Xenopus tropicalis: one gene and its partner. The protein of the gene in region 2 interacts with the protein of the main gene of each other region in a biochemical or structural test. Links are inferred from orthologs where the notes say so. Each region holds a gene or a part of one and is shown on either strand. Other genes may lie near its edges.

Region 1 (4,444 bases), on a different chromosome or scaffold from region 2:
TTATTCCTCCACGTATCCTTGAATAATGTTTAAATATTACCCTACAACTCCAATTTAACATCTCCAGAGTTTATCTTTTCCTGGAATTCCTGGTGATTGCCCAACAAAGGCATTTTTTTCATTTTAGATTTTACATTGTCTTGAAATTTAAGAGGTATGTTACAATTAGTAATGTGCAGCATGGGCCGCCCTACTATACCCCCAGAATGAATACTTAACCAACAGATAGTTTATATAATTTTAAGTGACCTAGTAATCTCACCAAAATGGAATATATATATATATCAGTAAATATTGCCCAGCTCTAACCGTAACAGGAAGTAGTGTGGGAGTTAAAGACAGAACCCTGTCTATTCATTGGCTGATGGGGCCTAGCATGTATGTGTGCCTTGGCTTGTTTGTGTGCACTGTGAATCCTATGATCCCAGGGGGTGGCCCTTAATTCTTAAAATGGCAATTTTCTATTTATGATTACGCAATAGCACAAACTACTAAAAATGTCTATTTTTATGAAAATGGTTTATTTAGATGAAGCAGGGTTTTACGTATGAGCTTGCTTATGCAATATATTTTTGTAGAGACCTACATTGTTGGGGGCTATAGTTCTCCTTTAATGGTGGTTTCAATCCCAGTTTACAGTTTGGTTCAATCAAAAATAGTGAGAACTTTGCCATAGGCTGCGTGTGGCTTAAAGAGCAGAATTTTTTTTTTTTTATAAGGAAATTGTTCAGTGCAGGAGATACTGCAGTGTCCCTGCCCTAGTTCAGGTGGGGGAGTAAGGAGCAGGGCGCAAGGTGTGGACTATAATGCCAAAAGGTACCCCTACAAACAGAGATAACTCTATAAAGGAGATTCCCCAGTGGTGAAAGAGACCCAGTGGGGCACTGACTAATATAATACATGTAAAGCATGTTTTGAAGCACTTTTAATGTTTCTAATGTTTTATTTCCTGTTTATGACAAAAAAAAACTACTTATGCCTGCCGCCCAGTATCCTCATGATAGTTACGTTTTAAACAACAATATATCCAAGATGTGCGTGTTCCACACTTACGGCAGCTAACATTCCACAACCAATATGGCGCCAGCACACAGTCATATAAGCATGGGAACCCTCTCACGTGTGCTACAATCAGAACGCAAACTAGCCTGCGTACGGTCAGCCTATCCCCGCGATTTCTCTATTTGACAGGGAAAGTAGTCACCAGTTGATTTAATAGCCAATTCTGTTCTAGCGCTTATACCTATGCTTGGAATTCACGTTGTCATTCATATTTTCTTTTTTTGTCTTGTTTTAAAAGATTTTAAAGTAGCGCGATTTTTTAGCCTAAGTTGCACTGTACGACATTCTGCAACTCGCTGCCATGTTGAAACTCGTTTCTGGTGATGTAAACAAGTAATGCATCCGGGTAAAGGCGTCCTGACGCAAGGCGGCGCAGCGCGCTTACGTCAGGACGCCGCTTTGTATAAAAGGCGAGGCGAGGCCTAGTTCAGCCTCTCTTCGGTCGCTTTAGGCCCGGTGTCTACCATCTGTCTCCATCCTTTGCCGGTGGAGCGGTTTCGGACTCATCGCAGCCATGACTGAGCAAATGACACTTCGGGGGACCCTAAAGGGCCATAATGGCTGGGTCACGCAAATCGCGACTACCCCACAATTCCCGGACATGATTCTCAGCTCTTCCAGAGGTGAGATGCATGAGACGCCTACTGTAGCCTATCGATCCACGCAAGTTTATATGCATTGCGGTATCCGGGACCCCGTTTATCGTTAGAACAAGAGCATGAATGCTTACACGTTGCTTTTTTCAGCCCTGGTAAATGTGATTGCTGTAACTACTTAGTGTCGCTGTGTGATATGTTACTGTATCGGGGCTAAAATGGCTCCTCATTCATTATGCGTCATTGGAAGTCCTAACTATAATGAAGCTTTTCTTTATCTGTCGTTTTGATTAGCAAGGGAAAGATGGTGGTAGATTTTGCGGGCTAACTTACCTTTTAATTATGGTGTGAGCGATATATGATGTATAGTGGCAGCTATTGTTTGCTAGAACTTTGTTCCTTAGCCCTTGGTACTGAAGAATTTGCAGGCTGACAATGCCATAGAGTTGTATGAGCAGTGGTGGAAGTGTTTTTTCTTTGCACATCTCATGTCTTCATTTTTCTTGCATACTAGATAACCTCATTCTTCTGGCAGTTTGGGTTGTGCAAAGGAAAAACATCTTCACCTGCTTACAGACATAAAATGAGACACCGTAGACCAATGACAAGGTATGGCATGGCTTCGCTGTGATGGCATGGTTTATTTTGGGAGGGTTACCCCTGTGTGGAACTGCCTTGTTGGAGGTTTACTGCATAGAAGTTGAGGTTACCACTTATTTAAATCAGCAATAGTGTTCTTATGTCCTTTGACTTTTTTTTTTTTTTTTTTTTCCTCTCTGCACAGATAAGACTGTCATCATGTGGAAGCTGACTCGTGATGAAACAAACTATGGGGTTCCACAACGTGCTCTCCGGGGTCACTCCCACTTTGTCAGTGATGTGGTTATCTCTTCAGATGGGCAGTTCGCTCTCTCAGGATCCTGGGATGGAACACTCAGACTGTGGGATCTTACAACGTGAGTACACTTATCCTTGTTCCATTACCTGGCCTGTTAAATGGCTGCTTTTCAGAATGTTCAGCAAAAGTTACTGATCAGCAGCAGGGAATTAGACATGGTTTCAGTACTACAGAATTTGACTTATTACTTGGATAGAAGGAATGACTGGACTAACTTTAGCATTAAGAATCATTTGAGTCCACTTACTGTCAGACCAGAATATCCCTGCAGGGGAAGCATATGACAAAGGACCAGTTAAATAGTAACCTAGGTAGAGGGAAGCTATGAATCTGTCCCTCCCCCTGCAGGGTGGCACAGAAAGGAGTGTTCTGAGGGGAATGGATACTGTCATTTTGTCATCGTGTCAAATATCCCTCTGCAGTGGCACCACCACACGCCGGTTTGTAGGACACACCAAAGATGTCCTGAGTGTCGCTTTCTCTGCTGACAACCGGCAAATTGTGTCTGGATCCCGTGACAAAACAATCAAGCTGTGGAACACTTTAGGCGTTTGTAAATACACTGTGCAGGTATGTATGAGCGTTATAACTATATTTTAGTTCTGTTGGTCCACGTGATTAGAACAATTGTATTCTGAGTGTCTAATATAGGCACACTAATTTCAGGATGACACTCCTGCAATTATGAAGGGACCAAATAAACAGTCATTCTAGGTCTTTTGGCAGGCTGTTTACTAATGAAGCTGTCTTTCTTAGGAGGAATCACATACTGAATGGGTGTCCTGTGTCCGGTTCTCCCCTAACAGCAGTAATCCCATCATTGTATCCTGCGGCTGGGACAAGATGGTGAAGGTGAGTATTTTGGATGCCTCCAGTCTTAATACGGGTTCAGAGTTTTTTTTTTTTTTTTTTTTTTTTTTTTAAATGCATACTTGTTTGGTAAGTAAAGTGTTAAGCAGCTTTAAAGCGTTTTCACTCCCCCTTTAAATAGTGCACTACTGACCCCTCTTAAACAAGTACTAAGAACTAAGCCCTGAAAATAAGTGGCTAGAGATGCCCACTTTTATATACTGAATGTTCAGGTCTTCTGCAGTTGTCACGGGAACTCCCCATCTTGGATTTTATTAGTGTCGGTGACACTCGTGCTCAGTGTGCAGTTGAGATGCTAAGTCTAGGGGTTGTCGCAAATTTTCTAGCCTGTCAATAGTTCTAAGCTCGGGAAACAGAACAGAACAGAACATGTGCAGTGAATCATCAGAAAAGATGGGAAGCTACTGGGGCACATTACTTCTAAAGGGCTATGATTTCCTAGGGCTGTTACAAAAGCGCAAAACACATAATGTAAAAATAATTATGCCCTACTTCTGTAGTTAATCTTGCAGCTCTGCTTTCAGCCCCCATACATGGGCCTACCAGACACAGCATTTGAGTGATGAATGAATATTGTAGTGGCAGTACATGTGTGGCTTTTTTTTCTATTCAGTGTCGACACTGAACAAATTAGACAAATTGCAGAGTTGCTGCTTCCCTTCTGGCTGACTGGAAATTGGCCATGAGGACTGCTGATCCTTGATCTACCAGAATCATGGAATTATTTATCTTCCCCCCCCCCCCCCCCCCATCCTTTTGTATTGGCTATATAGGCACACAAAGTAGGCCCATATGGTCAAAATTGGCCAAACTACCCTACCAAGTCATGGCCAGTATCCTCTTGCACCTTTTTAAGAATACCATATGGTACAGGTTGTTTACTATATGAAATCTTTCTCTCCATAGTTTAACATCTGTGGATATGTACATAGTGCATTTAATCTTTTTTTTCTGTGTACACATCCTTGGATTCCAGTAGCCTATAGTTGTATTCTAAATGACTTTTCTTATTTCAGGT
Region 2 (3,060 bases):
TCAGGAACATGGTGAAAACCTCTTTTTATTGGCTATAATGTATATGTAATGTTTGTTTTGGTTTTTTTTGTACTGTGCCTGGGCATAAAACATGCAGGACAACTGGGCCTTTTTTTTTAAATGTAAACTTCAGAAAATAAATGTTTTTTTTTCTTTTTCTGGCCCTGTGGAATCCCTGGAGGCACTGGGGTTTTTATTGAAGTCTCTGAAAATTCTAACTTGTAAAGAGTTTCCCTCTATTCTAGCTATCTTGGCCAGAATGAGCTATGGTTGGAATGGTGCCTAAACTCCAGTTGTCCCCAAAAGGGCTCATCTGCCAACAGACCCAGGCCCACCACAGCTAACCCATTGCCGCCACCTTCCTACTCAGTAAGTCAGATTGTACTAAATAGGCATTGAACCTCTCCATGTGTTGTTGCAGGCTTTATGCTGGCCCAGAGGTGGACATATGGAGCTGCGGGGTCATCCTGTATGCGTTACTCTGTGGAACTCTCCCTTTTGATGATGATCATGTGCCAACACTTTTTAAGAAGATATGTGATGGCATCTTCTACACACCCCAGTACCTGAACCCTCCCGTCATTAGCCTTCTAAAGCACATGCTGCTGGTGGATCCCATGAAAAGGGCAACCATCAAAGATATTCGGTAAGTTCTTGAACTGTTAAAAACCACTTAAAGGTATGCTGTCATGATGTTGTTAAATTACACTTATTTACATGGCAAATAATTCACTATACCATTTAAAGGAGAAGGAAAGGCAAAAGTCACTTAAATCGCCCACCTTTTACCCCGGGCTGGTGCCCCTGCTCGGAGAGAACAGCAACAGCCCGGGGCAGGTGCAGCGCTTCCTCCTTCCTTTTCGCTTGCGCGCGCATGCTCAGTAGGGTGAATAGTGGAACTTTAACAGAGAAGTCGGCTTTTTACTCTAATGCACATGCTCCGGGAATTTGCCAGCAAAACGAAGGAGGAAGCGCTCGCTACAGGTACCCCGGGCTGGTGCTGTTTTCTCCAAACAGGGACACCAGCCGGGGGTACAAGGTAAGCGATTAAAGTCACTTGGGGGTGCCTAACATTTTGGAACCCCAAGTGATTTGCCTTTTATTGTGCCTGAGTCTGAGCTTTCAGAAGGAGCCAGTGCTCCATGTTAGAACTGCTTTCAGGTAACCTATTGTTTCTCCTACTCCCATGTAAATAGAGGAGTCCCAAGCCGGAGTCTATGCTTAACGGTGCATTACTGTAAAACAAAAGTAAAAAACTAGATTTATTTAATATTCTTGTATTCCTAAACTGATACTCTGCCTCTTAGGGAACATGAATGGTTCAAGCTAGATCTTCCTAAATATCTGTTTCCCGAGGATCCATCGTACAGTTCCAATATGATAGACGACGAAGCCTTAAAAGAAGTGTGTGAGAAGTGCGAGTGCTTGGAGGAGGAAGTGCTGAGCTGCTTGTACAGTCGCAACCACCAGGACCCGTTGGCAGTCGCCTACCATCTGATCATAGATAATCGCCGCATAATGAATGAGGCCAAAGACTTCTATTTGGCTACCAGCCCTCCGGATTCCTTTATGGAAGAGCCTCAAGTTGCTCGGCCTCACCCAGAGAGAGTTCCCTTTTTAGTGGCCGAGTCACCCCGGCAACGACACACTCTCGATGAGTTAAACCCACAAAAGACCAAACACCAGGTTGGTGTGAGAAGAGCCAAATGGCATTTAGGCATTCGAAGTCAGAGCCGCCCAAACGATATCATGGCAGAGGTTTGCCGAGCAATGAAACAGCTGGGCTATGAGTGGAAGGTAAGCTCTTGCACTTGGGTTTCTTTCTGCAAGCTTTTACTAACACTGTAAGGGAAGAGGTGCCGTGGGCCCAGTGTCGGACTGGGAACCCAGGGGCCCATTGGAAAACCTAAGACCATGGGCCCAATCTCTGAACAGTTTTTCCTCCTTTTCTCAATAAACCACTTTATTCTCCTAGTCTCTCTTATTTACATGCTAGCATCTATTCTTCCATCTATTTCTCCTCTTTGTTCCCATTCAGAAATAGGTAATGACCATGAAACAGGCCAAATGACCAGAAGCAGGAGGGCCCACTGACCCCTGGGCCCACCGGGAGTTTTCCTGGTATGCTGGTGGGCCAGTCCAACACTGCGTGGGCCCCCATTCATGGGATGGATAAGTCCATTTAAAGGAACAGTAACTCGAAAAAAATGATAGTGTTTTAAAGTAATTATAATAAAGTGTACCTCTGCCCTGCACAGCTAGAATGGGTGTGTTAGCTTCAGAATCACTACTATAATATATATAAGCAAGCTGCTGTGTAGCAATGGAGGCAATTGAAATAGGGATTAATGGTGCAGGTTAATTAGCAGGTTACAGATTAGGTCTGTGAAATATAATATAGTGTTCTACAGAGCTTATCTGCTATATAACATGAGCCTTTTCCCCTATGAATGGCTACCTTCATAGCTACACAGCAGCTTATGTATATAAACTATAGAAGTGTTTCTGTAGCAAACACTCCCATGTTACCAGTGTTGGGGCAACAGTACAATATATTTTATAATTACATTAAACCACTTATTTTTTGGTGTTACTGTTCCTTTAAGTCTGTAGCGACAGATTCATAACTGCATTGATCCATGTGCAAGGGACTACATTTGATCCATGTGCAAGAGACTAATTTCCCTTATTATTTTTCCCATATTGAGGTTGTAAATCCATACTACCTGCGCGTAAGAAGGAAGAATCCCGTTACTAGCATGTACACTAAGATGAGCCTCCAGCTGTACCAAGTGGATAGCAGAACTTACCTGCTGGATTTCCGCAGCATTGACGGTATGTGACATTTCTGTGCTACTTTCGGAATAGTAATGCCAAATGTTTGGCTGCTGATGCCTTTTATGGTTTTTATTACCTTCTACCAGCCTGTCACAGAGGCAGTCGCAGCAATAAAACTCTGGGTTCCCATCATTTCCGTCAGTTGTTTATATTAATTACTTAAGGGCCTTTGTCTAAACCCAGAATGGCACTCTACCTCTGAAATTGTACTTCATGCAGTAG

Evidence for each region. The genes of interacting proteins can lie anywhere in the genome.
Region 1: of the proteins of prkaa1 (region 2) and rack1, one has a biochemical effect on the other in vitro, tested with the Homo sapiens proteins (2 studies listed by BioGRID). The link is inferred for Xenopus tropicalis from reciprocal best matches to the Homo sapiens genes PRKAA1 and RACK1.

Annotation. Positions count from the first base shown.
Region 1 is NC_030684.2:71,557,469-71,561,912, reverse strand, and holds the start of rack1 (receptor of activated protein C kinase 1), read left to right. Parts: upstream 1-1,507; 5' UTR 1,508-1,576; coding exon 1,577-1,685; exon of another isoform or gene 1,686-1,813; intron 1,814-2,172; exon of another isoform or gene 2,173-2,267; intron 2,268-2,442; coding exon 2,443-2,614; intron 2,615-2,978; coding exon 2,979-3,126; intron 3,127-3,312; coding exon 3,313-3,408; intron 3,409-4,442; coding exon 4,443-4,444. UniProt on the Homo sapiens protein: Scaffolding protein involved in the recruitment, assembly and/or regulation of a variety of signaling molecules. Interacts with a wide variety of proteins and plays a role in many cellular processes.
Region 2 is NC_030677.2:195,921,294-195,924,353, forward strand, and holds part of prkaa1 (5'-AMP-activated protein kinase catalytic subunit alpha-1), read left to right. Parts: intron 1-421; coding exon 422-646; intron 647-1,307; coding exon 1,308-1,797; intron 1,798-2,708; coding exon 2,709-2,835; intron 2,836-3,060. UniProt on the Homo sapiens protein: Catalytic subunit of AMP-activated protein kinase (AMPK), an energy sensor protein kinase that plays a key role in regulating cellular energy metabolism.